4 linked regions of the Diceros bicornis minor genome follow. The protein of the gene in region 4 interacts with the protein of the main gene of each other region in a pairwise test. Links are inferred from orthologs where the notes say so. Each region holds a gene or a part of one and is shown on either strand. Other genes may lie near its edges. The genes, in order: KIF5A, TRIO, RESF1 and EXOC1.

Region 1 (7,896 bases), on a different chromosome or scaffold from region 4:
GGGGCTTTGGGGGGAAAATAAATAAATAAATAAAATCTTTAAAAAAAAAAATGGGTCCAATGAAAAAGTCACAGTGGATTCTGAGGGACACAAAGAGCAAAACAAGGTACACAGCACACAGACAGTGACCCAGACACCCTTCTGCTATGACTCAGGCCATTAACTCTGCCTAAGCCCCATCCCCCAGATTCCTGGGAGAAGTCAGGGGAGTGAGAGAGGGATAAGGCTTGCAGAGCTGTCTCTCCAGCTTATTCTCCTACCCTCCGCCAAGCAGAGAAAGCACACGAACATTAGGGACTCTGAAACCCAGAGCTAGCTGCAGTGCCGCAGAGGCAGGGAGGAGAGCCGCTAGAGAAAGGAGCAGGGGCTGGGTTTGGAGAGATTTCCTCTCCCACCCCCCCTCTTCCCTCACCTTCCCAGACATCCTGAAGCAGCTGCCTCCATTAATTCCTCAGACAGTTTCTCACACACTGGGCCCCAAAGGGAGCTAGAGGAGGAAAGAGTAAAGAGGGTAGGAGATTTCCTTCCCTTGTTGGGACCCTCAAGGGTCTCCTCAAATTCACTTCTCCTATAGCCCTCATCTTCCCGAATGAGGAAGGAATAGCAAGGCTGGGACGGCAAACTCCAATGATGCTGCCTGAGACAAAATGGCCCCCTAGAAGCATTTATCTTGGAGTGAGAGATTGACAAAAAGGGCTAGGGCGAGGGAAGATACAGAGCAAGACAAAGGTAGAGCCCTACAAATATCAGGGGAAACAGATAAGGAAGGAGCAGCTGTGGAACTAAGATAGAATCTGAGTTGGCAGGGGGCCTGGGCCTCTCTTCATCTCTCCTCCCTCCTCACCTTCCTCTGTGTCTCTCCTGTCTAGCAAATTGGACAGATCAACACCACACCTCCTCCTCCCAACATCACTCCATGCCCCATGCCCACCACACCAGGACAGCCCAGAGAGCTGGAAGGAGTCGGTTCAGACTTAGCAGATAAACCTCCAGCAAGGAAGCCAGGCTTAAAAGTAGAAGCCTTTTGTGGATTTGCTCCTCCCTCTTGTTTCTCAGGCTTTGTGTCTCAGGGGGACCTTAAGCTCCAATGCTCATAGCTAAGGCTGGCTATCCAGACTACACAGAAGGGAGTCCCCCAGGGTTGATCCAGGCATGATGTTAGCCTGGCCAGACTGGCCAGACTGCAAGGCCTAAGGGCCCTGAGGCAAAGAGAAACAGGGGCTCTCTCTATGTGGCAAACACACACACAAGGCAAACGCACCCATCTGAGTTCACAGTGCGGTGAGAGCTCAGCATGGTGGCAGACTGGGGCCCTTGGGGACAGAACCTGTAAGCAGGTCTCTTCCTAAGGCATGTTTACTCAAAGTCCCATGCTCACTGATGAAGAAGGCCCAGGCTCCCTCCCCTTCTTTCCTTCCTTCCTTTAACAAGCCCACCTTGTGCCAAGCACTGTGGATCAAGGATACATAACAAGCGCCCCTGACCTTGAGGACTGCCCTCATACGTGCCCCTCCCTTCTCAAACTGGCCACAGTTCCCTGGTCCAGCACCCTTCAAGCCCTACTGGACTCGACCCCAGATCCTTTCACCCATAGCCTCATAGTCCCTACCAACCTGGGAAAGGAGAGGTGGGTTAGGAATTCCTTTTGGGCCACCCCAGATAAAGGTCCAGAAAAGAAATCTGAGGAGGCAATGTGATATAGAGAAAAAGACATGAGCTTTGGAGTCACAGATTTAGGTTCAGATCCCTGAATTAATAGTGTGACCTTGAGAAAGTCATTCAACTTCTTTGGGCCTCAACTTCCTCATCTGTGAAATGGAAATATTAATACCTATTTCAGAGCGTTGTTTTGAAGATTAAATAATATATGTAGAGTAACAAGCACACAGTAAATATTAGTTCTTCTTAATGAGATCTCCTCTAGGGGTAGAGGCTGTCATGATGAGGTAGAGGTAGCTTGCCACTTTTTATTGGATCATCAAGAGAAAGGATGAATAAGCAAGTACTTGTTAGGATCTCAGGGTTTGGTTATTTTTATTTGTTAGGGGGAGTTGGGGGTCTGAAATCCTCTTCCTGCTGAACCCAGAGGGAAAGGCAGCTATTTCCTTAGGACCCCAGAGACTCCCCCCCAAACTGGGTGTGGCCACAATGTATTTTTTTCTCAGAAAACCCTTCATCAGAGCCCTTCCCTCCCCCCAACTCCAGGCTGTAACTACTTCAGGGGATGACAGAGGGCTTGGTCCTGGAGCCCACCCTCATGTATACCTCCGCAGAGACCCCGAACTGCCCACCTCCAATCCAGCCCATCCATCCACTAGTCTTCCTCCTCCCTTCCCGGGAGTTGGGGGTAGAGATTCGAGCCAATAACAAAGGGAAGATGCGCTTTCTCTAGGGGAGAGGGAAAACATCGGAAAAACACGGGACTGGCTCTAAGGGGTGGGGACGTTGCAGAGAGCAGCAACGCGGACTTGGGTCCCCTGATCGCGGGGAAGTAGCCCCCTCTGCGGAGACTTGGCCGTCAGCCTGGCCAGGCCACACCCAGCCATCCTGATGCAGCGGAGAGGAGGGGCTGCGGCGAAGAGGATAGAGGACCGAGGATGAGCCGCGGGGAGTGGGCGCAGAGCGATAGGCAGGGGCTAAGGCTCAGCCGAGGGGAGGATTCACCCTACCCCCTCCTCCCCGAAATTCCCTCCTGGGGCGGCACTCACCCCAATAACGACGCTGTCGTCCCCTTGGAAAATGGGGATGAACTTGTCTCCGCGCAGAATCTCGGCCTGGTTCAGGGGCCGAAATCGGCAGAGCACCTTGATGCTACATTCGTTGTTGGTCTCCGCCATGGTGGTCGCCGGCGCGGGGCTGGGGCACTTCTTGGGCGGCAGAGGTGGTGTGTGCTCCAGAGGCGGGGGCTCAGCTGAGGCCGAGGCAGAGGACAGGTGCTCTGGGGCTGAGAAGGCTGTTGCGGGCGCCCGGGCGAAGGCTGGAGAGCAGGGCCGGGGCGCGCTTCCTCTCTCCTGCGGCACCGGGATGCAGGCGACTTGGCGTCTGGTCCTCTCGGCGCTCTGCCTCTCCGCCCCTCGCGCTGCAGCGCCGCGCTGCGGGCCTGGGCGGGGCCGCGCTGGAGGAGCGGGCGGGGCTTCCCTCGAGGGGGGCCAGCCGCTGGCCTCCCCCACCGACTGGTGGCACCTTTCCTCTCTTCTCCCCTCCTCTCCCCAACCTTAAGTCTCGGAGAGAACCCTGCCCTCACCCCTTCCCCACCCAAGTCACTCACTGCATCCTACCCCCCACATCCCTGATCTGTCTGTCTCTCCCTCGGACTCCACCCCCCTGGAAGGGATAAGGAGTCTGAGGTGGGCCTGAACCTGTTTAGAGAAGAGAGTCAACAGCGCTTCCACCCGCTTTATTCCAGGGCATCGGCCACCCCCGTCACGTCATCTTTCCAAATTGGGAGCACACTTCTCATTCCCTCTCCCCACACCCCCACCCCCGCACAGATTCCCAACCCACTCAACCTGCAAGGGCAGCTGCCTGTACCCCTATGGAGCTGGGTGTCCAGGTCCCATTTTTCAGAAAGGAGTGTCAGGGGAGGTCCGGCCATTCCCTTCCTCTTCTACATCCAAAGGTGCACTCTACTCTCTCCCCAACATTCACACCAGGTCCCCAGTTTGAAGGAAGATGAACTCCCATCCTGGGCTATCAGAATTCAAAAGCAGATAAAATTCTCACTTTTGCCTCATAGGTTGAGGCTGGGATGGAGGTGGAGAGGAGTAACTTTTTCAAGAGAAAGGGAGTTAGAAAGTGGTGAAGGAGGGGTGATGATGGGAGCAGGTAAGGCCAGAGGGGCGTTCAGAGAGGACCTCTAGGGCAGACATCTGCATTAGGGTTTCAGGCAGGTTTAGGCACATATGTGAGTGTGTTTCCTGTCCCAGTTACTGTTGGGCAGAGTACCAACACCCAGCCCCTTTCTCAGGCCTTTCTTCTCTATTTCTCCCCCTTCCCTGGCAAAAAAAAAGCCATGCCTAGAGATTCCTTGTCCTTCCTCCCCTCAGGTCAGACTCCTGCTGCAGCCCCTGGGCAGAACCACCTAGAAGCTGGCCGAATTGATTTTTCTCCACGTCACAGGCCTCTGCTGGCGAACAGAGAAGTTAGACTGCAGGAATTGAGGTTCTGGCCAAGGGGAGGAGCAGGGTGATGGGAGACAGGAGGAGGGGATGGAGGTTCTGCCTAACTAACAATTGCCTAAGGTCACTTAGACACTACGAGGCAAGGATGGGAGAATGATGGCCTGGCCAGACAAGACCTAAGCACTCAAAACTCAGCTGAGGGGGTTTCTGGAATTCAGCCTATACCTCTAACCCACCTTGAATCTTAAGGAAACTGAGGGAAAGGGGTCCCGCATAAGAAACTGGATGGGAAGGCAGTAGGAGAAAGAGAGGTTGAGGCTCAGGGAGGAGCCAGGAGAGTATGCACACAATGACAATGAGTTCCAAACTCGAGAAAATAGGCATCTCTCCAGTCACTGAGTCTGGCACTTTTTCTAAGTGTTGCAGCATTCTGCAAGCTCAGGAAATATCCCAACCTCAGGCCCCCAGGGGCTCCAGGGTGGCATCCTTAGTGAAGGAGTTTCAAAATGCTAGTCCATAGAGAGTCACTGGTCAGAGACAAAAGTTCACCAAGCATACCTCCCCCCAAAACACACACATACAATGCGATAAGTTTTTCATAAAGCTGGATTTGTTAAGTTTCAAAGGACTTTTATTCTGAGAATATGTCTTTCTGTACCTTTCCATTAAGTAAGGATGGTAATAGTAGTAATAGGTTTTCTTTCCTTAATGAACTTACTTGGCAAAATAAAAACACAGCAATATCATGTCTATCTTCAAAAAGGTTTATTGTTATTGTTTTGATTTTATTGAACTGTGAAATTCAGAAGTTTGAAAACTATTAGTGAAGTGGTTAAGAGCACAGCAGGTGTTCAGACAGACACAGAGCCACCACTTACCTATTTATGAATGTGAGATAGGATTGCCTGATTCGAAAAACAAAAACAGGATGCCCAGTTAAATTAGAATTTCAGATTAAAAAACTAATAATTTTTTTTGTGTCAGTAGGTCCCAGGGCCAGCCGTGGCTTAGCGGTTGAGTGCGCGAGCTCTGCTACTGGCAGGCCAGGTTGGGATCCCGGGCGCGCACGACGCACTGTTTCTCTGGCCGTGCTGAGGCCGTGTCCCACATACAGCAACTAGAAGGATGTGCGACTATGACATACAACTATCTACTGGGGCTTTGGGGGAAAAAAAGGAGGAGGATTGGCAATAGATGTTAGCTCAGAGCTGGTCTTCCTCAGCAAAAAGAGGAGGATTAGCATGGATGTTAGCTCAGGGCTGATCTTCCTCACACACACACAAAAAAACTCCGAAATATAGGATGGGACATATTTACACTAAAAAAAAATTAGTTGTTTCTCTGAAATTCAAATTTAACTAGGCGTCCTGTATTTTATCTGACAGCCCTAACTTGAGAAGATTACTTAACTTTTTCACTCCTAACATGACTAAGCCTCTACTAAATTTTACTCGTTATTGTTTTTGAAGCCCTGGCTGTGCCACAGCATGCCTAGTTGTATTATTTTTATGTAGTCATTTAATTTCTGGGAGTCCAAATTTATTCATTTGGAAAACAGGAATTATAAAAGCTCTTTCCCAGACTTGATGTAAAAATGGAAGAAAATAAGTTGTATGAAATGACTCCCAAGGCGCGTTATTGTCATTGCCCGCCCAAGCCTCAATCAGCTAAGACTACATATCCCACAATTCTAGGCGGCGTCCCCCTGCCATTACCTCATTCCCTGGCCTCGTTCTCGCCAATCCCTGCCTCGCCAGGGGTGTGGTGGCGGGCTGTTCTCGCGACTTTTGCTTTACCCTTCTCCTGTGTTACTCCTGTCGCGAGACTTCCTGCTCCTCCGCCTTCTCCGCCGCTCCCTTTGCCGCCGCCTTCTCCCGGGACCCGGACCCAGCCTCTCCCCTACCCGAACACCGGCCCCGGCTCCACCGAGGCCCCGGTCCCCCAACCCCGCCTCGCCGCCGCCATGGCGGACCCTAAATACGCCGACCTTCCCGGCATTGTGAGTACAGGGCTGGCCCCGCCTCCCCAGGACCGCACCCCAGACCTCCTCAGGACCCCCAACAGACACCAACCCGCGACCCCTCCCGCCTGCAACCCCTCCTCCGCCCCCGAGCCTCCCGCCGCTCGCTCCCCGACGGGCCGCAGCACCTCCTGGACTCCTCCCACCCGCCTGGGCCGGGTCGTGGGACGGCCTGCCAGGCCCCTTTTCTGGCAGTCGCCGGTTTCTCGGCCCAGAAGTCGTCTCCAGGCGCTCACCACTTGTGCCCGAGTGTTGTGTCAACATCACCCGTGTTTCCTCAAATCTTCCCATAAGCCCCGCATCCCCACCCCCTTACACACGTACCAGGCCACTTGGTGATGGCCTTCACCCTGCCAAGGAAGAGGTTACCGTGGCAAAACCCTTGTGCCAGATGGAGAACTCTGTCCTCCGGGGAACCTCCCCACCCCGCCCCGGCACATGCCGGCATGTACCCTCCTTTTCTGCCGCCCTGCCTGCATCCTCCGGGTGGGGGTTGGGGCACAGGACCTTGGGTACTAAGGTCCTGAGTCACTCTCAGCCCTTGTGCCAGGGTAGTTGTGTACAGGCCCTGATTCGAGCATAGCCCCTCTCCTACTTCTGACATAATGGACGCCAAGAACTCGCCCCCGTTTCAGAGTCAGGGTAACATCTTTGTCATCACTTACACTCACCATTTACCATCAGGTCACAGTTGTCCCCACTGTCATCTGCATCGTTCTAAGACATGGGAACTGACATGCAGTTCCCCGGGCAGGTGGAAGAGAATGCATAGAATCCTGGCACCACAGCCTGTCTTCTCCATTAGTTGTTCAAATGGAGGGGGGTCAGGGGTGTTCATGGATGCTGGGTAGTGAGGTTGGGTGGTCACTGCTTCTACCTGCAGGCCAGGAACGAGCCAGATGTTTATGAAACCAGCGACCTACCAGAGGATGATCAAGCGGAGTTTGATGCGGTAAGACTATGTGCTGCCTCAGGACTCCTCTGGATTCTGACCTCTCCCCCAGGCAGGCCCTTTCCCATTTCTGGTGAACCACAGCAATAAGCGGGTATGCCAACCCAGCCTGGGTGGTATGTAGGTTCTAAGGCTTGCAAAGGCCTTGCTGGTCTTACAGCCACCAATGAGCAATGCCAGGAAGGAGAGTCAGGTCAGTGGAATTACAGCTAACAAGACCTGATCTTCAGCCTTTTAAATAAAATTGAATCTCTCAAAACAGTTAGGTTTGGGGCTAGTGACTTAGGCCCCTGGGTGCTAGTCCATGGTAATGAATCCTGAAGCCTGAGCACTTATAAACTGAGGTTAGGACCTAGGCCTTCTATTTCATAAAAAATTTCACTCAATACATGTTTATTAGTGTCCTACCAAGAGCTAGATTTTGAAGTATAGAGGAAACTCTTTTATGTGAATATCCAGTATCCGTTGGGCAAGGAGTAAGAAAATGATTAGGAGATTTTAGGAAGATCAGGGACCTGGTCAGAGCAAAACAAATTTGAGGAAGAACATAAATCTTTCGTATCAGCAGAGGAGAGGCCCTGGTAGCACTTTCACATCCAAGAAGAGCTCTGAGGAGGAAGGAATTAGCTATGGACACATTTTAACCATGAGGGGAACCACTTAATCATTGTTGATTGAATGTGTTCATTTTGTATTGGTTTTTGTGCAATGCAGAGGAAGAAATGTCCCTGCCCTTAAGGATCCCCCAGACTAATAGGGGAGTTAGTATACATATAGGAGACATATGGAAGAAAAAATAAAAT
Region 2 (7,472 bases), on a different chromosome or scaffold from region 4:
ATACAACTTTCACCTGTCTCTTCATCCTCCTCCATCTTCAGGGCTTCCTTGGTGGAAAAGTTTGAGAGGCGCTGATAAAGAACCATGGCTGGTCTATCTGTTAGGAGCTGGTTTGGCTGCACAAAACTGAACACCCACCTCGCAGCCCCTTGACTACATCAGAGTCTTCCTTTTCTTGTATGTTTCTGTGGAACAAGAAGTCTGGAGGTGGGCAGCTCACTCAGCCATCAGTACCATATGCTTCTGTCCTCACGTGCACCCTCTCGTAGTCACACAGTGGTCTCTTCACCTCCAGCATCTTGTCTGTATTCCAGAGAGGATAAAGGGCAAAGGGCATGCACATGCCCAGTTTGAACTCTTTCTTGTGAGCCCTGCCCAGTTCTTTCCACTTGTATCTCATTGGCCAGCACCCTGTCACATGGCCACCATAGCTGGGAAATGGAGTGTTTTAGCCAGGCATGGGTTCTGATAAGAAGGAGAGAAAGGATTTTGGGTAGACAATTTGCAATGTCTGCCCCAGCTGGCTTTCTCCATTTCTTTTGCTTCATACCTTTGTGCCTGGTCCAGTTCTAGGCACACAGGAGACATGCTGATGCTTGTGTACTGATTGCAAAGGATCTCCTCATCTTGTAGGCAAGATATTAAACACGAACGGTGTAAATAATATAATGCAGTACATGATCAAATGCCAGAACAGTGGGTGCTGCAGAATACAGAGGAGGGAGAGATCAGTTTGAGTTATGTAGGAGCTTCATGAAAGGGGGTGAAATTTGAGCTCAATTTTGAAGGTTGGGTAGGATCAACAGCAGCTGTCATGAAACCCTGTTTAGATCCCCCTACACACGCTCAGATGGCAGAAGGAAAAAAACCTGCGTGCAGCCTCTTTCTCTTATTGCAATCTGGGTGAGCCGTAATGCATGTCCCACACTCAGGCACAGGTCTTTTATATTGCTTTCTTGGAAATGACTCTACCTGAGATGGGAGAATTGGTCACTATCTGGGTCTCAACCCTAGAGAGATCTTTTTGCCCAAATACACATTGATCATTCCCTCTTCACCCTGATCCCCAATAGCAGTACTACCACGCATTCACTTTCCCTTTCAGGCCAACTCCTAACCCCAGAACTTGCCTCTACCCAAGAACCCTCCAACACAATTTGGCTTTTTCCAGCTGTCCCAAGTACTATCACTAAGGTATTGCCAGTCTTTCTGTGGCTGCATGATATCCCATCTGTCCCTTGCCCCAGCAGTTTTTATTATTCAAATTCTTGCCCTTTATCCACCATTTAGGCAGCAGAGGGGGGCTCTGTATTTACGACCGTCAGGGTAGAGTTACAATGGGAGGGAGATAAAGAGAAAGAAAGAAGTCAGCACTTGGCTTCTGAATTTTGAGAGACACTTCAGAAACCCATGGCCGAGGTCATAATTGGAGGGAAAGGTTTTTTGAATATTTAAACTGAGTCTCTTAAGAACACAAAGGTTATGCCATAAACAATAGATTTGGAAGAAAGCATGGTAAAACGGGAGTGAGGTTTTCTTCCTGCAGGGGAATTAATTTTGTAATTTGGGGGAGAGGAGATGGATAGCATTAGACCCTGATGTGAGTCTCTGAGAAAGGAAGTCTGTGCCCAGGTAGGCTTGAGGGATCTGGAAGGAGGGAGAACTTGGCCTCACTTTCTGGGGTGGGGGTTGGAGGGTGGTGAGGTGGGTCTGAGCACCCCAGTGAGCAGTTGACTGTTTTCCTGAGAGGTTGGGAGTAGCTCAGGAGGGGTGTTGACTGCCAGCAGACCTCAAGAGGCCCCATGGTTGGGTGAGGAAGGGGCCAACAGCAGAAGGCAACAAGGTCATAGCAACGCCTGCAGTCCAGGCAGGAGTGTCAGGGACGGGCACAGACACAGGACACATCTGCACTGGTGCCAGCATGAATCCATGATGACTAAGGACCAGGTGCAACCTCCTCAACCCCACCCCACGCTGTGGTACCACCAATGCCTCTGGGAGCTTGGCTGCCACCTTGGGGAGGACGTAAGAGGGGGAAGGCACTCAACTAACAAAGAAAGTCCCTGGAGATGGAGTTTTCCCTGAGCTAGCATTAAGCTTTCTGCCATGAGGGGGAATGGGAGCTGGGGACAGAAATTAACTTGGAGAAAAACAAGAAAAGGGAACATTGTGAGCACACCTGAGCTAATGGCCTATGAAATTTGGACCTACCGCATTTTTTCTTTTTGAGACACTGCACTTACAATTTTAAAACAACTTTTAAAATAAACTTTTATTTTAGAACAGATTTAGATTTACAGAAAAGTTGTAAAGGTAGTATAGAGTTCCCATATACCCCACACCCAATTTCCCCACATTACTTACAATTAATGAATCAGTGTTGGTACATTATTATTAACTAAAATTCATATATTATTCACATTTTCTTAGTTTTTACGTAATGTCCTTTTTGGTTCCAGAATCCCATCAAGAATACTACATTACATTTAGTTGTCATGTTTCCTTGGGCTTCTCTCAGCTGGGATAGTTTTTCTAACTTTCCTTATTTTTGAAGATCTTGACAGTTTTGAGGAGTACTGGTCAGGTAGATTGTAGAAAGTCCCTGAATTGGGATTGGTCTAATGTTTTCTCATGATTAGACTGGGGTTATGTGCTTTTGGGAGGAAGACCACAGAGGTAAAGTGCCATTTTCATTACATCAAGGATACATACCACCCACATGATTGATCACTGTTAATGTTAACCTTGTTCACGAGGCTGGAGTAGGGTTTGCCAGGTGTCTCCATTGTGAAGTTACTCTCCCGCCCCTCTTTCCATTTTGTAATCTTTGGAAGGAAGTCAGTATATGCAGCCCATAGTTAAGGAGACGGGAGTTCTATTCCATCTCATTGTGGGCAGAGTATCTACATACATGATTTCAAATTCTTCTGCATGGGAAATTTGTCTCTTCTTTCCCATTTATTTACCTAATCACTTATTTATATCAGTATGGACTCTTGGATATTTATTTTATACTTTGAGTTATAGTCAAGTGTTGCTTTATTTATTTTGTTGCTCAAGTTGTTCCAGCTTTGGCCCCTGGGAGCTCTTTCAAGTGGTTCCTGTGTTCCTTTGACAGACCTCTATCATTGCTGTGGTTGTTGATTTAAAAAAAACTTTGTTTGAACACTTCCTTACCTTCTGGCACAACAGGATGCTCTGGGCTCATCTTGTCTATTTCCTGCCTCAGTCCTAGAGTCAGCCATTTCCCCAAGGAGCCCTGGTTCCTTTTATTGGAGAATGGTGTTAAAAACAGGGTCTGAGTGCCAGGTGTGCTGTTGCTACTGCAGGTGTGCTGTTGCTACTGCAGTGTCGTTTCTAAGTCCACTCAGCTGACAGAGCAAGGAAATATGTGTATGTGTACTAATCTGTGTATATACACATATCCATAAATCTTTTTATATATCCATCTGTATTTATGTTAAGCTAAACATGAATTCATACTGATGTCTCCAACTCTAATCCAATACCACATGGATCTTTCTAGCCTCCTCCCCCTGGTTATCTGTAACCTCCCTCTCCAATAGTGAAAAACCTGGTATGCACCACCCAGCATTCATTTATTTAATTGTTCAGTTCCAGTATACATGTATAGTGGTTTCATCATCCAGTTGCTGTTAATCAATGTTGTCTCTGCTTCTCCTTGTTTTCCGCATCACTAGATCCTTTAACCTCTGACACCCATCCTTTCTGCTCACTGCTCTTGTAGCCACGTCATAGGCGTTTTGAACTTGAATACTTGTCAAACGCTGGTTTGACATGGACCTTCCATAAAGCTGGATGTCGCCCACCCCCCCATTCCCTTTGGTTTCCCCGGCCCCCATCACCTTTCTCATTCTTTACATTTTGGTGGAGTAAGGACGGAGGGGAGGTAGGTCTGGAATCTCATTTTACAGACAAGGAGGCTTATGCCCCCATGAGTTGAGGCTTGCCCCACTCACCTCCGGGTTTTCAAGAACTCTCTGTTCATTCAGCCACTATTATGGAGCCCCATCTACCAGCGCCGGCGCTGCGCCAATGAGCGACACACCGGCCCAGCGTCCGAGTCGCCGGGCCCCGCGGGCGAGATCAGTAATAAGCAGCTCGAGCGCTCGGAGGACGGTGCTCGCAGTGCAGGACCGAGCGCCCCGGCGGGGGGCGCTACGCTGGGCCTGGAAAGGTCCGCCCCAGCCGGTCAGAGCGTTCCTCCTCCTTCCAGAGGTTCGAGCTGCCCGGGCGGAGGAGAAAGAGCAGGACCGAACGCTCCCGCGGCCGCCGCCGGCCCTCTGGGCGCCCCGCAGCCCGGCGCGGCCCCGCCCCTCCCGCCAGGCCCCGCCCACCCGCCGAGCCCACGCTCGGGCCCCTGACGATGTTCGCCGGAAATTGCCGAAGCCCCCCTTTTTCCTTCCTCTCCCTTCCCTGCTCTCCCTTTTCCTCTCACCCGGGTTCCCTCGGCCGTGATTTCCCCCCTCCCCCTCCTTCCTTCCCTATTTGAAATCAAGATGGAGGCTCGCGGCTGTCGCCGGCGCCCGTGATCCCGGAGCTCCCGCCGGCCACGGGCCCCCGCCCTCGCGACTGCGTGTCCGGCGCGGCGCGCGCTGCTGCCCGCGCTCCGGCCGGCGCCGCCGAGGCCGTGGCTCCGCGCCCCCGCCCCGCGGCCAGCTCGCGGCTCCCGGGCGGAGTCCTCGTCTATGTGGGCGCGCTCCTCGGGCCGAGAAGCCGCCGCCGCCCGCCGCCGCCCCGGGGCTCTGCGTCCGCGCGCCGGGCGCGGGCAGCTGGGCGCTCGGAGCCGCCAGGCCCGGCGCGGAGCGGGCGGCGCGCGGCGCTAGGGGCGCGGGGCCCGAGCCGGGCGCGGCCGCGGGCGCCGCCGCAGCCATGAGCGGCAGCAGCGGCGGCGCCGCCGCCCCCGCCGCGTCCTCGGGCACCGCCGCCACGGCCAGCGCGGCGGGCTCGGGCTGCGGGGGCGGTGCCGGCGAGGGGGCCGAGGAGGCGGCCAAGGACCTGGCCGACATCGCGGCCTTCTTCCGATCCGGTGAGTGCAACTGCGGCGCTGCCCGCGCGCTCGGCCGGCCCCGCCGCGGAGGCGCGGTCCGCGGGCCCCGGCGGGCCCGGCGCGCTCTCGCCCGGGCCGCTGCACCCCGCGCCGGGGCTCCGGGACCTACCCCGGCGTGTCCCGCTGCCCGCCGCCCCGCGCGCCGCGGCCCGGCCCGAAGGCGGCCGCCTCACCCTCCCCTGCGCCCAGCCCCCGTTCCAGGGTGAAATCTCCCGGCTCCCGCCCCGGCGCCCGCAGCTCCACGGGGTAGGGCGCCGGCTCTTTGTCTCCTTTGCTGGAGGGCCGAGGAGGCGGCGGCGGGGATGGCGAGGGGGGAGGCCCCTGCCCCGGAGGCCGAGCGGACGGGGGCGGCGGGGCCGGGCCGGGAAAGCGGGCGGTCATCTGGGCCGGTCTCTGTGGCCGATTTGTCCCTGGACCCTCCTCGACCCAAATGAGCAGCCGGGTCTCTTCCCTCGGTCCTCTAGCCTGTCAGCTCCCCGGCCTCGGTCTACACTTCTGTGAAACGGGGCAGCCATGGCACTCGCTGCCCAGGGAAGTGGGGAGGTGGCCGAGATGAAGTGCGGCCGGCCGGGCGGCGGGTGAGCCTTTGTCTCTGGGGGTGGCCCGGCAGGGACATCTGGGAACGTGGTGGCCCAGGGGGAGGCGCAGGGCTAGGCGCTTGCGGGCCACTGCCGGGGTGGCGTGGAGGTGGAGGCAGTGCCAGGTGGCCCGGTGTCTCTCCGGCGAGGAGGGGGTGGCTGCGGGAGAGGGGAGCTTTGCGACTGGCCCGCGGGGAGGAGGCGCGGGGGGTGTGACGGGGCGTCCCCGGGACCCCGGCGGCGGCGCCTTCTCCCGCCCGGGCCCGCGTCCCCACGCCCAGTCCGGTCAGCTCGCGCTTCCGGGCCGGAGCGGAGGAGCAGGCGGCGGCGGCGGCGGCGGCGGCCTCGGGGCCCGCGGCCCGGAGCGCCGTGCCGGGCGGCCAGGCGCGGGGTGGAGAGGATGCAGACCCGGCCCCGGAGAGCCGAGGAGGGTGGGCCAGGTCGGCGCCGGGGTGGGTGGGCGGGCGGGCGCAGGGCGTGTGCGGGGTGCTGGTGGCGGCCCCTGGCAGGACGGCGCGGCCGGGGATGCCGGGGGAGCGGCCTGCGATGGGGCGCGCTCGGTGGCCTCTTTCAAAATGAAGTCCCCAGATTCGGTGAGATCAGTCCGGTAATCCGGGTCACAGGGAGCAATTTGCAGTAGGAGGGCGATGGTCAGAGGCAGAAGTTAGCAGTGTCCTTAGATAGATACCTGGTTTAGTACTGTCTTAACCCCGTTTTCTTGTTCTTTGCCAGGCAGGGTTATTTTTGAGGCATTTTAACAGATTGGTGGTGGCTGGGAGTGACATACGCCGACTCTATAGTGTCAGCTTGGGGTTAATATGCTCCCCAGGGTCCCCTTTCCAGTGAGGTCCCTGCAGGAAGCAAAGGTTAGGGAAAACGAACTCCTAGTGAAAGCCTTTTTTGGTGCAACTAGCCCGATAGAGCAGCCCTGTCTTACCTCTTAATAGTAGAACTGGGACGTCTTTCCTTCATGCCCTGAAGCTAAAGTCTAGCCTGTCTTCTCTCTGTCTCTACCACCTGTCACAGAATAATAGATTCTGTGCAGAATTCAGCTCCTCTCTGTTAGAAAGGCTCTTGTGCCCTGGAGATGGGATTTTTGGTGCTCGTGAGACCAGACTTTCTTACATCTTTATTATGCACAATAGAGAACTCACTTCTTTTGCTCAGAAGAGCCCCTAGAAGACATCAGGTTGGACTGGATGCCCACAGAGAACTTGCTTCCTGTCAGCGTGGCTCTCCCCAGGATTTATCCGGGGAGATAAATCTGTTGGTGGCCATGCCTTGGCCTGTGCTTGCTCCGTTGTCCAGGCTCCTCTTCACGTTCAGGTTTGGGCAGAACCAGGCAATGCTGCTCACTGGCTTGCTCCTTTTTTCCACCCTCCAAAATGATTGGACAAACTTCCCCTTTAGTTGTTTGATTTGGAACCAGGAGCCAGAGCAGATTTAAAGTAGGCAGCGGTTGCACTGTCCCATCTCAGGGGTAGTCTGGAACATCTTTTAAAAGTGCCTTTCCCTCCTTTGGGCAGCTCTGAATCCCTGACCTAGATCTTGGCTCCAGCATCTAGGGCGGTGATGTCTAGCAGAGAGTAGAGAGGTACCATTCAGTTGGATTGGTGGGGGTAGAATCGGGGGTTTGGACAGTCATGACTGATGAAGCGGGAGGACCCTGGATGGGGACCTCACCTGGTAGAGTGGCTCAGGCAGGGGCCATCCTGAGCAGTTTTGATTGAATTTGGTTGGCTGAGGAGAATGGAGAGGCCAAGTCCATCAGTAAAATCTGACATTCTTTCCTAAGATGTAGAAACACAGAGAATAGGTTCTCA
Region 3 (7,290 bases), on a different chromosome or scaffold from region 4:
TTAAAAACTAATAATCTGCTTATGATTTCTGTTTCTTAAAACTTAAGTGAATGACATAATTTCTTATAACACTTTGCAATTTTAACCACAAGTTAAAGATTTTATTTACAAATGAAGTCTTGTAATTTAATACATCTCAAGAGAATCTTAATGATTGTCATTAAATCTGCAATCACAACAACTATGAGCAAATGTCTCACTTGAGACATTTACTTCAACAGGCCAGCCTCCAACATTGCCCTTCAATTTACAAGCACCCTTAGGGTCTCAAGAATATGCACATTACATAGCTGCCTCCCAACAAAGCATTTAGAATCCTTCAAGGTCCAAGATTACTTCTTTCTTTACAAGGTTTATTACAAAGTAATTTTTAACTTGCATCTCTATAGACATAGTTGGTAAATTGTTCTCTTTATCTCAAATTGAATGCTTTCCAGGTCTATTTCACAAAGAGTATGCCTCCAATGGGGGGATGGGGCAAGGGTGGTGAAGGCCTGGTTAGACAAAAAAAATTCTTGAAATTCATCTTTATAAATGCTTTTGTAAATTTAAATCAATTCCCTAAATATTTGAGCTCCTATTGTGTCCAAGACATTGATATATCTAAATGGGAAGAGATTCCTGTACATCACAGAAGACAGACGGAAAAACAAGGCTTATGGGCGAATCTGCCCTGGCTAGAGAATTTAATGGAGGCATTCTTGATTTCAAACAAGACTGCGGGTAAAAACTAGAATTGGGTCTAGTACTTCCTTACAAAAACTGAACCTATAACAGGATCTACGGAGAAGGGTTTAATCAACACAAAGCTGATAAACTGATTTAGAGCTTAAATGAGCAAGCTGAATTTCCTCCAAGGTAGTGTTATTGTCTTGGGCCATAAAATTTATTTCCTATAACATGACAACAGCTAGAAGTTATTGAGCACTTACTATGTGTCAGAAGCAGTTCCAAGTATTATATGTATGAAACTCAGGTAACTTATCACAACAATCCTACGAGGGAGGTACTACTGTTACCTACATTCTACAGATGAGAAAACGGAGGCAGAGAGGTTAAATATATTCTCCCAAGGTTGTACACATAATAAGTGGTAAAGCCAAAATCTGCAGCTCAGCAGTCTGATTGCAGGGACCATAGGCTTAATCATTACAGACAGTTTCTTAACACAGCTTGGTGTTTACGGGATGGCCCTGGAGACAATCGCTTTGGCTTTACAGGTTGGTATCTCATGGAATGGTTCTCCCAGAGTTGTGCTCTGTGCTACCCTCCCCCAACTCCATGTGCCAGAAATAAATAAAAACAATCAAATAAGAAACTGAGCATGTGGAGAATAATTTTAAGCAGTACTCTGCCCAAGTAACTTAGACCACAGTTGCCCCACCATAAATAATCTCTTTCATATCCTGCAAAGATGAACTGAATTCTCCATGCTATGCCAACCATATTATTTCCCTTCGACCTTTGTCACAGAAGGGGAGCAGAATATGCCACCCAAAAATATGCCACTTCAGCATTTTGATTATTTTGAGTTAAAGTTACTTAAGAAACAGCTGGTGCAAGGACACTCCAACCTCCTTTGTCTCTCTGCAAGCGAGATGTAAATCTCCCATGTGAAAGGTACACTTTCGGTACCAAGAGAATAGAAGGCATCCTTATCACCAGATAAGGAATTTAGTGCTGAGAAGGCTGAATTAACAAACCTTGTTACTTCTTCACTAACTTGCTACCCCACGCCCAAAACCCTTTGTCCAGTCAGTTCTTCACAAATTTATTGTTTCCTTCTCTAAAAGGTATAAAAGCTGCCTGCTTTGGTCACTTCTTTGAGTCTCATTTTTATGGGCTCCCGTACATATGAAAATACATTTGTTTTTCTCCCGTTCATCTGTCTTATGTCAATTTAATTATTAAACCAGCCAAAGAACCTAGAAGGGAAGTTTTCCTCCAAATCCATTGTGTCCTATAGTTTAATTTTTAACCAATGCTGATTCATTTAATTAATAATTTTATTCCATAACATAAATTAGAGTAAGCTACTTAGAGGTGACATACTTACCTTTAAATATGACGTTACTCGTCTATTATTGTATATGCTCCCATTTCCCTCCAAACACATCAGTACGCCTCTACAGTGTTTACTTCTTTGGTCCTAGGGATGGCAAGAAATATTTTATAACTAATAATTTAAAATAAAATTTATATTATATTTTTATTTATGTAAAATTTACATTAAATTTATAATAAAAGTCCATGCTAATGTTTACTTGATGTGACATTACTGTGCAAACCTGTGTTCCTAAGAGTGCACCAAAAGCATACTAAGTTTACTGAATTCTTATTAAGTGTACAAAGTAATAGAAATAGAAAACAGATCTGGTCTAAAATACCATTCACTTTTTAACTTAGAATTCATCTGCGCTCCTCCAGGTCCATGTTGTCCTAGCATTCCAAAAAAAAATACTTCACCTTAGCAATTTTCTTTACTGGATCAGTAAAAGAGAATCTGATTGCACAGGAAAAAAATAGGTAATCAAAACCTTAACATTCGCGCATGGTAACACTGACTAAAACTTAAATATGATTTACAGCTAACACATTAAGCACAAAAATCCCCAAACAAGCTCTGCGACCCGCCTATCAAAATGCACCTCAAGTGCATACACATCACCTGCTGTTCTCTTTATTTTGGAGGTAGGCACTAAAGGTATTACAAATCAATTGTTTTCACTGGGACGATTCCCCGAAAACTGGCTGCTGAACTCACGACCCTAAGGAAATGTGCTTAGAGAATTCGCGTCCCTCGAGAACACCTAAAATCGGTATGCATTTGTGCATTTAAAAGTGCCTCGAGGAACTAAACGTTGCTGAGGAACAGAAAGCATCTCCGGCAGACGCGTTCGCGGGCCACCTGGAGATGCCAGCGGGGTCAATTGTTTCGGGGGGTTCAGCATCATGGGGGAGGGGGAGGGAGGGAACGCTCGAGACTTGGTAAATGCAAAAACAAAGATTTTTTTTTTTTCACGCCAGCGACAGGAAATCATTAAAAACATAAGCTAGTCTCACACCCACAAACCGCCTTATAGTTGAACAAAATGCGTCCTGGCCCTCGCCGCCCGCGAGCTCTCCCGTGAGGAGGAAGGCGAGGTAAAGACAACACCGGCTCGGCGCCGCCCTCCGGCTCCAGCTCGGCGTCCGGGCAGGGCAGCGAGCGGGGCGGCGGCCCGCGGGGCGTGTGAGCCGGCGGCGCCCGCGGCCCGGAGCCGCCCGAGCGCCCGCGGCCCGCGGCCCGCTCCCCGCTGCAAAACAAAGCGCTCGGCCGCCGCGCGCGCAGCCCTTCCCGCCGGCACCCGGGCTCCCGGGGCCCACCGCCCCGCGGGGACCCCAGACGGCGAGCGAGGGCCAGCCGGGCCCCCGGCCCCGCACTTACCGACGGACCCCGAGCACCGCGCGGGCCAGCAGCGAGGGCACGCCGGCCTCCCGGCCCCAGGATTTAAGTCACCTCGGGTCCGCCCCCGGGGGCGGGGCGAGCAGCGAGGCCCGGGCTCCGCGACCAGCCGGCCCCGCCCCGGCCGGCGGCGGGAGCGCCCAGCCCCGCGCCGCCGCGGTCCTACTGCCGCCGGATGAGCAGGCGCCGCGGCCTGCCCCGCCCTCCGGTGGATCGCGCTGAGATTTGCAAAGTTAAGTTTTCGTATCTGGTGGAGAAAACTTATCCAGCAGTGAGTCTCCGCCTTTACTTTGCATCAGAATCGCCCCGGAGGGCTTGTTAAAAGGGATTGAAAAGTGCCGCTTGGAAAATTGCCGATTTCAGTAGGTCAGAAGTGGGGCTGAAAATGTACATTTCTAACAAGTGCACCGGACAGGTTGTTGCTACTGATCTCAGAACCAGTGATCTGGAGCATGGGGTCGACAAACTTTCCATAAAGCGTGTGAAAGAAAGTGCACCAAGTGAAACGTAAGGAGAGGATTTTTTCCAGGCTGTTTCAGTAGGGAGAACATCCATTAATTCAGAGGAACCTTCTCAGAGAAAGGGAAATAGACCTTTTGTATAGGAGGGCTTTTATAGGAGAAACTCAACAAGGGAATCCTGTCTGAGTGATTAAGAATGACAAAGGGCAGAGGTAGGTAGTTCTTGCGATATGGATGGCAGGGTATTTCTTTGCCCTTGAGGTTCAGATCTTGGCTCTGCCACTCACTAGACATACAACCTTGGGAAAATCACTTAACCTGTCTCTGCTCAGTTTTCTTATCTGTAAAATGAGAATAACACTGACACTTACCTCATAGGATTGCTGAGATAGTTACATGAATTAACACATAATTGAGAGCAGCTCCCAGAAAATGGAATGGTGCTCTTGGCTTAGATGAGGAGTTTTCTGGTGCCTAAGCTACAGCGATCAGCAAGCAGAAATGAACCCAAGGGAGAGGGAGTAATGTTGCCAGAAAGTCTGATAGGGACCCCACTCCTATACAGCCTGAGGAAGGCTTAATGCCCAGCAAGATTTAATGCCCAGGAAGCTACAACTCCTTTTAGGATGAAGTTGATGATCTCTCTGCCCTGTCTCCTTGTCTTCGCCTGTGCTGATTTTCTCCCTTAGATAAGTAAAGCTTGTCTGATTTTCCAAAAGTGTTTGGTCTTTGCACCAATCCTAAAGTACAACTGACATTCATCAATATAGCAGCTCTGAAGGGTCACCAGCAAGGAGACTTGCAAAGAGAGGACACAATCTCCGGGACCTGAAAGTATGTTTAATCAGGGGTGGGGCTTTATATTGCCTTCTCTTTAAGATATTTACAACCCAGTTACAAAGAATCTTGTTATCCAACTGGTCAGGCTGAGGAAAGATTCCACCAAAAGATTAGATTGCTCTATGCTGTGTCCCTTATCAAAGATTACAGATCCTCTCCCTGTGTTTCCCAACATTCAAAAACAAAGGCTCTCTTAGGTAAGTCAATCTCTCAAGAGCATACTACTTAGCCTCAAGGCGCGTTGACTCCTAAACTTATAAAACATGTTTTGGAAAAGTGCGTGACATCGTTAGCATGCCTATAGTAAGAAATTATGGGGCCAGCCCCGTGGCTTAGCGGTTAAGTGTGCGTGCTCCGCTACTGGGGGCCCTGGGGGCCCGGGTTCAGTTCCTGGGCGCGCACCGACACACTGCTTCTCAGTACACCGTGCTGAGGCTGTGTCCCACATACAGCAACTAGAAGGATGTGCAACTATGACGTACAACTATCTACTGGGGCTTTGGGGAGAGAAAAAAAAGGAGGAGGATTGGCAATAGATGTTAGCTCAGAGCCGGTCTTCCTCAGCAAAAAGAGGAGGATTAGCACAGATGTTAGCTCAGGGCTGATCTTCCTCACCAAAAAAAAAAAAAATTATGTTGGTGTACAAAAGATGCCTATTATTCATTTGTCATAAATAAGGTCATTGGTTTTCTTTTTCTTTTCTTGGTTGTCCACCATATTCTGTTTCCCCTTCCTGTTAGTAATATTTAGCTGGGTACAAGGTCACATAACTTGAGAGTACATTCCCCAAGCCTCCCTTGCAGCTAAGTATTGCCATGTTTCAGTTCTCACAATGACATATGAGCAGAAATGTTATATGCAACTTCTGCCTAAGGGAATGCCTTACTGTGGAATTCCTCTATCTTTCTCCATTTCGTTAGAGCCCATATACCCCTTCTTAGGATAATGTTTTGGAATGCTTAAAGTAAATTATGTGAGATAACACAGGAAATTAATTCAATATGAAAGTTATCAAAATATTTTAAAAAACAAATGTGTGATATGGTAATATGTATATCTTTATTAACACAATAAATAAAATGTATTAGCAGATCCAATAACAACTGTGATTTTGAAAGTGGTAGACATAAATGATACAGTCATGCACAGCATAACGATGTTTTAATGGACTACATATACGGTGTTGGTCCCATAAGTTTAGTAGCATGTAGCCTAGGTGTGTAGTAGGCTATACTATCTAGGTTTGTGTAAGCACACCCTATGATGTTCGCACAATGATGAAATCACCTGACAATGCATTTCTCCTAACAGGTCCCTGTCATTAAGCGACACATGACTGTATTTCAAGATTGTCTGCATTAATTCTAATAATACGAAAATACCTGTCATTTTTATGGTGACAAATTTAGTGTTACTACTGCTATGTTACTGTGGCTTTTTTGGCCAACATTCATAATTGAAGGGTATGATACATTTCAGTAAAATGTTAGTGAAAATAGAATTGTTTGGCCATCTAAATTTATGGTATTCCTGAATTCTATGCATAGATGCGGTAAGCAGAATTTTGGCCCCTGTGACCTTCATCTCCTGGTGTTACTTCATGGTTATATTACGTATATATAAAAGGGACTTTGCAGATATAACTAAGATTACTAATCAGTTGACCCAAAAATAGGCAATTAGCCTGGATTGTCTGGGTAGGCCCAGCCCATTGTAATCATATGAGCCTAAAAAGCAGAAGGAGAAGGTAGAGGAGGAGGCTAGAGAGAGGTGGCAGAGGGAGAAGTCGGAGATTGAAAGCATGGGAAGTGCTCACCTCCCTGTTGCTGGCTTCTATATGGAGGGGGGCCACGTGGGAAGCATGAGAAGGAAATAAATTCTGACAACAACCTGAATGAGCTTGGAAGTGGAACTCTGAGATAATACGTCAGTGTTGTTTAAGCAGCCCAGTATGTGGTAATTTGTTATGTCACCAAGAGAAAACTAATATAATGTACTCTAGGTTATAACCCCTGCCTAAGGGAATGTTTAAGGAACAAAATGGAAGGAAACTAGATCCTGAAAGATCTGTAAAGAAGAGCTCTCCACCAGCCTGGATCAGCTAGACTATTACTGAGAGAGAAGTAAATTTCTATCTTTTACAGGTTGATTAAGTTCTGGATATGAAGGAGTATTAGCTTATTGAAGTATAAAATGAGAACAGAGATCCAGGACCAAGTCTTGAAAAACTCCCATGTTTAATGGCAAGGGAGGAGAGTATGCCTTAAAGAGACAGGGGAATAGCCAGAAAGACAAGAAAAACGAGGAGAATGGAATCATGGAAGCAAAGAAAGATTCACGTGAGTAAAAAATGTTCAATCCTGTTACAGATCAAGTAAGAATAAACTGGAAAATACCCTTTGGATTTGACAAAAGGGGATAATTGGAGACCTGAGCCTGGAAATACAAGGGACAAAGAACAGCAAAAACAATCCTGAAGAACAGTTGAGGGACTTTCACAACCTGCTTTCAAGACTTACTATATAATAATCAGGTGTGGTATTG
Region 4 (7,767 bases):
CCATGGGAAAATGAAGAAATTATGAGTTTTAAATAAATGACTTAGAAAGAATCTTTATAACACAATGACACTTCTGTAAACTAGGTATCTCCTATATTTTACTCAATCTGTGAAACTTCTATCTCTGCTCCAACTCACAAAATTGCTTTTCTCACAAAAATCACATCTTCCCACTTCCATCCCTCTTTTATCTCATCTCAGCCTCTAGTCTTCTAACCATCTCCTCCTTCCTGTTTTCTTAGTCTATCTGGCCTCTCCAAGCTTAATTTCTTTTCCAACCTAGCCTACAGTCAGTATTCACTTCCCTACACCCCCACTCTCCCCTTCAATTATCTTATACTGTTTGTAGACCAGTGCACCTTGTTTATCAATCTCCATAAACTGTATTTTTTCCTCCACTTCTCTTGGGCTACCATATGCCACTTAAGAAGGCCACATATCCACGTTCATTGCATTCATTACAAATATCTAAATCCAGTCAAAGCTAGACTTTCAATGGTGCTCAGCAATTCTTTAACACTTCCTTTGATAATTTTTCTTCCTACTCTCCATCAGTCTTGTTGCAAATCCTTATTTTTCTCCTTCAGACCCCAACTTTAGTGCCAGCTTCCTCCCTCGCTGCAAATGACTTCACCATCTACCCTGCAGAGAATATAGAAGCCATGAAGTAGAATTTTCCCCAATGGCTTTCTTTTCCATCTCTCTACATTTTCACCCATCTTAACCTCCATTCTTCCTATTACCAAATGTCCATGTTACTAATCTCTTACTATGTCCTAGGGCTTACACACTTTGTTAAAAGCTCTACTCCATCCTACCCCCAAGTCACACTGGATACTGGCTAGTTTACTTTTCTATCTCTGGGCTTTTGTTCATGCAATTTCTTTTTCCTGGAATTCTTTTCTTCCTGGGAAAACTCCAACTCATCCTGCAAGATCCTGCTAAAACATCTCTCTTCTGTGAAGCAGTCACACACACACAAAGAATTCCTTTTCTACTTCTCTAACATTTCCTCTCTGCTCTGCTAACATACCACTTACAAACCATATTTTGTAGCTAGTTGTATTCTCTCCCCCATTAAAAGTAGCTTCTGTAGGCAAGGACTATGGCTTATTCATCTTTGTATACTTAGAACTTGCCAAAGATATAACAGGCATTTAAAAAATTAGCCAAAATGACAGCACCAAATAACATGACAATTATAGCTTCCCTAAGGTTCCCCCTTCCCAACTCTCACATCTGTAAGCAAACGTCCAGGTTCAAAATCTGTCATATGTGATTCTCCTCCTCCATTGTCAACATGCAATTTGCTACCACATTGTTGATTTCCCCTCAGCTACACATAATTTATCTTTCCTTTCTGATCCCACTGTCAACACACTAACCCAGGTTCACATCAACTATATCTATTTAACACTACTGTATCTGGTTAGCTCTTTGCAAACTTCCACAACCCAAAAGCAAATAATAACATTAAAACACAGCTTTCACGACAACATGCCCTTGCTCAACATTTTCCTAATCTTCCCAAATACAAACCTTCCACTCCAAGCCCTCTGTTCATTCGGTCTTTAAACCTTTGCTTAGGTGCTTTTCCATGCAGGGAATAGCATCTATCCTAATTACATGGCTTGGTTTATATGAAGTTGATTCAATACAGATCTTAATCCAAATTGATCTCTCCTCTCAATTGCTACAGCACGTATTGTATTTACTAAACAAGCACTAATTGGTTCATGAGATCATAAGCTCCTGGATCTCAAGAACTTTCCTGAAAGAGAAGTGAGGGAAAGAGATGCTCTAGCATAGTGTTTTGTTCTTTTTTAGCAGGTACTCAACAAATACCTCTTGAGGTAACCTGAACTGACTAGTAAAAACTGGTCAAATGAATGACCAATAGTAGCCAGCATCTACCACACAGCCCCTCTTTGATCAAAAGCAACCACTGACTGTATGGTAAGGGGTAAAACAAGAAAGGACGGGGCATACCTCATAAAGGAGTTAGGCATAATGAAACGCACTATGTGACTCTCATTCACTCAGCAAATATTGATGCCTCCTAAGCACCAGACACTATTCTAGGTTACAGGGGTGAACATGACAGACATATTCACGAAGACAGGAAGATCCACGCCTCCAATGGCATTTACATTCCACGGATCGAGTGATTAATTCTCCAGCCTGTACAGTACCTTTTTGTAAGTCAGTGAATAAATCACTAGAGGTCCTCTAAAACTATTTTCCAGGTTTAAGAACCATGTCTGACCACGTTCCAAGGGCAGTCAGCCACAATACTGTGTTGGTTCTTGTTTCTTTAAATTCATTTGGATCATTCCACTGCGTGACAAATAACTTGTCAGTGTCAGTGTCCGTGCGGGTTGGGCCCTGTATGCTATCGAGACATCAATGCGCGTGGAGCACTGTCATCCAGAAAACTGTGCACGGAACCAGGGAAATGCACTTAAGAGATTTAGACGAAAATGTTGATTTGGACAATGAAGGGGAAGGCACTGTCACGCCCTCCTCTCCTGGTCCACGCCAAAGAGCAAACGATCAGGGTCGGTTTTTTTACAAATGAAATCTGGTTCCTCTGGGCGGAACCGGAAAGGGATGTGTAAAGATTGCCCTCCCAGACCCCAGGACAGCAAGGGGTTGGGGGATGCTCCGACTGGACTCTGCGCCTTACCCAGACAGGCAGGGAAGAGAAAGGGGGCCTGACGGCGGAGCCAGCGGTATCCGACCCCGGGCGCCGAGCCAGCAGTGGGACTAAGGGTCCGCCTTAGACTCTGGCGCCCGCCAGTCCGCTCGTCTGTCCGCCAACGCCGGGACCACTGCGCAGCCGCGGCCCAAGGCTTACCGCAAGACCGGACCGAGCCCGGCTGTGCCGAGGCGCGTCCTCCCAGACGGAGACTGGATGCGGCTGGGGCAACCACCGTGACAAAGATGTTCCCCTCAATTGAGCGGTGGAGAGGACGCAGCCGTTCCGCCACCACTTCCCATATCCGGGCACGTGACAAGCCTCCACGCCGGAAGTCGACCCCGTAGAGGAGGAAGGAGATGCGGCGGTGGGCGTGGCAAGGCGGGGCAAGCTCCCGCCGGAGGGGCGTGGCAAGGAAGGCAGGGGCGGGGCCTCTGTCGCTCTGAGAGTGACTAGGGACCTGGGGATTTGGTGCTGCGTATTACTTTCTCTAAAAGAGTTATTTATTCAGATATTTTCAGCAAGTCATATAAGAAGAGATCCGATGAAGTATTTTCTTTTTTGCATGTGTAAAGCTCTGTTAACTCTAGATCCTTGCTACTTATTGCATGGAGAGTTTAAATGAGTTAAATCAGAATCTCTGGGGCACGGGACCCAGACATCAGTACTTTTAGTATCTTCTGAGAAGATTCTACTATGCATCTACCGTCGAGAACCACTGATGTAGTGACCCTGATATTCAAAAGTGTGGTCCGCGGACCAGCTGTTTGTGCATCATCTGGCTTTTCTTTAGAAAATGCAGCCTCTCCCGCTTACTTCAGATCTACTGAATTGGCATCTGCATCTTAACAAGATGACACCTATGCACATTTAAGTTTGAGAAGCACAGATGATGCCAGTGTTGCTGGTTGCAAGGCAAGTGATTCATTTATTCCATGTTCTTGGCACCTGTTTTATGCCAGGCACTTTGATCGAGGTGCAGAGGTGATTCAGACAGGAATCCTACCCTGCAGATGTTCACAGTATGGTAGGGCTAAACAAGATATGCATACAAATATGTATAAAATAAGACAAAATAAGTGACCAAGAGGTACCGGTCAGATAAGTGCTGAGAATTCAAAGGAGCGATTTCTTTGCTCCTGCTCAACGCAGTCCTTTGCAAGGGTTCTGCAGGGATCCATTCATGCATGCGTTCATTTATTTGACAAACAGCGCCACCTCTATGCCAGGCACTGTGTTAGGTGCTGAGATACACTCAGAAGGGGGCACACTCTCATTGGGGAGACAGAATTAAATAGAAGATGGATAAATTACAGTCTAGTGAGGTAAACCCAACAACAAAGGTAGAAAAAAAGAGACTAAGTACCACGGGAATGCAAAAGAGGGAGTAACTCACTTTGTCAGGGATGGATTCACTGAGAAAGGGACAAATGAGCTGTGCAAAGTATCTTTCAATGTATCAAGATACAATTTGGTGGAAAAATCAGCAGAAATAGTAGGGACTTGTTTGCTACTGAGATCAATATGCTCTAGTCAATGCTACTTGGAATGCTTTTCAGTTTCATTGAATGACTTCCCTTCTAAGAGCAGGATCTGTATCTAATCCTATCTTTACAAAGACTCCTTAGGTCCTTCCCACTCAGTCTCAGAACACTTACTATGGACACTTTTTATATGACAATTGCATGTGCTATTTTGTCCTATATCTTTCTTTTTACGTGTGTATTTACTGTCCTCTTCAAAGTTGAGAAGTGAATTGCATTTCAGGAGCCTGGACTTCTTCCCTGAACTCCAGATTTGTGTATCCATTGCCTCCTCAATACTTCCACTTGGATGTCTGTTGGGCAGCTCAAACTTGTGTGTCCAAAAATTAAATTCTCCTCTCTCCTCTCCCCTTGTGGATTCCCCCAAAAGTAGAGGCTGAAACAAAGAGTTATGTGCAGTAGTTTATTTAGGGCTTTGATCCCAGAGAGCAAGAGTGAGAGAAGGGGGAGGGGAAATAACACAAGGAAGAGGGAGAGACAATATAAGGCTGTGTTATCGAGTTGGCATCATCATGTTTGAATGTTTTCTTGATCCCTTGGGACCAAACTTCATGAAAGAGTCTCAAAACAGTCCACTGAAAGCTCTGTCCTCTGTCAGCTCCTGTCCACCTTTGATCAAAGGTTAATGCTCCTGGGCATTGACTACTCCACACTTCCAAATTGCAGCATTGTGAATGCCAAGCTGACTCCCCCATCACAGAAGTCCTGAGGCAGGAAGTAAGAGGAGAGGTGCTGTCATGGTGTACTTGCCCAAAACTCATCAACCTCTGTTCAGAACATGTTGCTGCAGCAGTGGTTGGAATAAGAAGATGAAAGGATTTGAAGTAGTGACAGAAAATACACAGAAAGACACAGAAGGTGTCCATTTCAGTCCACTCCTTGTACCATTCGTATCTGCTTGTGCCCTGTTAAGTCTAGTCCTTTACAGAGGCCCCTTCAAGATGATGGCCACTCACAATCTCTGCAAGGACTTAATATAAGAGAGTTAGTGGAATAAGCTTCAGTACCTACTGCTACACTGAAGCCAAGACCTTACTTGTATTCATTAACTCCCTCCTCTACTACCCATTCTAATGTCCCTTCACTGTTGGCTAGCACATCAACTGATCTAGGTTGTTTCCCTGATGAGGTAACCCAGACCTTCAGCTTTCATTTTCCTTGCTCTGGTTAGGCCATGATTGCCTGTGCAACTTATCCCTGGGTACAGAAATACCAAGATAAACCCCAGTGAATTCCTTGGATTCCAGATTTATTCCTCCCTACTGCTATTGTGTAGTAGCAATCCCAGACTCTTTTGCTAATCGCAGTTGATTACTCCCACCAATATAGTAACTCTTTTCTTTGCCAGCTGGTCTACTGCCATGAAAAGCCCAAAGAGACCAAGTGATAGTGAGAGAGTTTCCAGCTCAGTGCATTCCATCCTGTGTATTCTAGGGGTAGCATCCTCCACCCAACCCTTGGGGAACTAATTATAGTAATCTAGCAAAGCCTAAATTTGAGAGGCAGGAAACACAAACTCTGTAAGTGGGTCACTGAGAGTGATGTTAAAATAGGCCAATCCTGCTCCTGGGTTTCTGGAGTCACGTCTTTAGCTGTTGGGGGTGCTCTCTATTGGTTGGTTTCGAGCACTTACCACATCCTGTAGGACAACACTCCAATCTCAGGCAGGCACATTAGCTGAGCCAGTAACAAGTCATTCCACCATTTTTATAATGCTGGCTGCTTCTGAGTGATGAGGGATATGACAATATCAGTGGATTCCAGGGTCATGTGTATGTTGTCACTTTTTTTTTTTGACTGTAAAATGTATTGCTTGGTTGAGGTAATGTTAATCAGGAATGGTATAATTCCAGTGATTGTGGATGTTGGCAGAGTCCCTTCAGGCAAGAAAGACAAACCTAGGAATCTGTAAATATTTTTACTTCAGGTCACTTCTCTTTATATACAAAGCAAACAATGAAGAATACTGCTCCAAATTCTGCCAACTGGGAAGGTTCCCCTTCAACTTTGTTCTTTAAAGCCATCCCTAAATGGGCTATAGTGCAGCAGCAGTCCAATTTTGCCTACCCACCAGCATCATGTGCCAACCCATCTGTGAACCAGGCTCAATTTTTTTATTCTGTGTTAGGTATTCGTGGGGAACTCTAAGAGGCCATGGGAGTGAGTTGAGAAAGAAATATCAGTGCTATAGAAGTGCCATGGGAGTCTGAGTTATCCATTCATGTAATTTATTTGTGTCTTCTGGACCTGCTCAGCCTCAATCCTATACCGTTTCCGTACTTCAGTAGGTTGCTGCTGCCGCACCCATGCACTTATGACTTGGTGGATCTGGTAATATCCAGCTCATGATAGATAGCTCTAGTTTCCCCAGTGGAGAATAGTTCTCTGCCTCAGAAGGCATGGCCTTGGAGAACTCTTGGGAATCTGTGCTGCAACTCTCATACTGGGGGCCTTCCAGAAATTTCACGCAGCGCTCTTATCCATCACAGATCCCTCCAGCACCATTAGATCTGCTAGAACAAATGGCCTAAGCATTAGGCAACTTGCGTCACAGCCCTTCTGGGCAACGTATGCAAGTAATGAGTACTTTAGTTTCACAATAAGTTCATTACAACATCTTTACTTCTGGGAAACATATTCTAGTGGTGGTTCTTTAGTCTCACATAATAAATTCATTCTGACATTCCTGCTTCCCTGAGTCTTCTGATTCCTTTCTCAATACTTATTCAAAGTTGTTCTAACAATCTCATTTAGCACCGGCCATCATCATACTCAAGCTTTCAGGAGGTACCAAGGCTATGTGTTAGGACTGACTCCAGGTGTCCTTGCCAAAACATTAAATCCAGATCACAGGTAAATGGCACTATCTCTTAAGTTTTCTCTTCCAGCCTTATAACCCGATTCCTCTGTCTGATACTCTAAATATTCACTCTCACACATATTCCACTGGTGTCTATTGGTACATAATAGCCAGTTTTGCAATTCCTTTTGAGTTAGTCTATAGTTTAGTGGTTTTCAACTGGAGGGTGATTTTGACCCCCAAGGGACATTGGGTAATGTCTGGAGACATTTTTGGTTGTCAATACTGGGAGGGTTCTACTAGTGTCTAGTGGGTAGATGCCAGGGATGCTGCTAAATAACCTACAATACAGAGGACAGCCCTCCACATCAAAGAATTATCCAGCCCAAAATGTCACTAGTGCTGAGATTGAGGAATCTTGGTATAGTTCTCTTTAGAGTAGGGATTACAATCCCCTGCATGGGTTGTGCCGTGATCTGACTCTGGTTACGGGCTTGAAGCCATGAGGGTAATGGGGGTGGTTATTGAGGAAAGTAAGGTCATATCAGGAGGCACTTGCCCACATATTTTTTTTTTGTGCAGCATTTCCAGACAAGAAGAGGCTGCTTTCCTTTATCAAGAGGAAGGAGACTGTTGGCACAGAGAATGGCAAAAAATCTGGGGGTTTAAAATTCTAAAGCATGTCCACACAAATGTCCCCGTTCTAATCTCAAGGTTCCATCATT

What was found.
Region 1: the proteins of EXOC1 (region 4) and KIF5A interact in a two-hybrid assay, tested with the Homo sapiens proteins (2 studies listed by BioGRID and IntAct). The link is inferred for Diceros bicornis minor from reciprocal best matches to the Homo sapiens genes EXOC1 and KIF5A.
Region 2: the proteins of EXOC1 (region 4) and TRIO interact in a two-hybrid assay, tested with the Homo sapiens proteins (2 studies listed by BioGRID and IntAct). The link is inferred for Diceros bicornis minor from reciprocal best matches to the Homo sapiens genes EXOC1 and TRIO.
Region 3: the proteins of EXOC1 (region 4) and RESF1 interact in a two-hybrid assay, tested with the Homo sapiens proteins (2 studies listed by BioGRID and IntAct). The link is inferred for Diceros bicornis minor from reciprocal best matches to the Homo sapiens genes EXOC1 and RESF1.

Annotation. Positions count from the first base shown.
Region 1 is NC_080756.1:11,425,184-11,433,079, forward strand, and holds the start of KIF5A (kinesin heavy chain), read right to left. Parts: upstream 3,017-7,896; 5' UTR 2,838-3,016; coding exon 2,709-2,837; intron 1-2,708. Other genes in the region: DCTN2 (dynactin subunit 2), read left to right, coding at 6,085-6,120, 7,025-7,093. UniProt on the Homo sapiens protein: Microtubule-dependent motor required for slow axonal transport of neurofilament proteins (NFH, NFM and NFL). Can induce formation of neurite-like membrane protrusions in non-neuronal cells in a ZFYVE27-dependent manner.
Region 2 is NC_080759.1:50,414,910-50,422,381, reverse strand, and holds the start of TRIO (triple functional domain protein), read left to right. Parts: upstream 1-4,457; 5' UTR 4,458-4,893; coding exon 4,894-5,050; intron 5,051-7,472. UniProt on the Homo sapiens protein: Guanine nucleotide exchange factor (GEF) for RHOA and RAC1 GTPases. Involved in coordinating actin remodeling, which is necessary for cell migration and growth. Plays a key role in the regulation of neurite outgrowth and lamellipodia formation.
Region 3 is NC_080756.1:31,828,247-31,835,536, forward strand, and holds the start of RESF1 (retroelement silencing factor 1), read right to left. Parts: upstream 3,017-7,290; 5' UTR 2,669-3,016; intron 2,205-2,668; exon of another isoform or gene 2,150-2,204; 5' UTR 2,057-2,149; intron 1-2,056. UniProt on the Homo sapiens protein: Plays a role in the regulation of imprinted gene expression, regulates repressive epigenetic modifications associated with SETDB1.
Region 4 is NC_080747.1:43,525,322-43,533,088, reverse strand, and holds the start of EXOC1 (exocyst complex component 1), read right to left. Parts: upstream 3,010-7,767; 5' UTR 2,858-3,009; intron 1-2,857.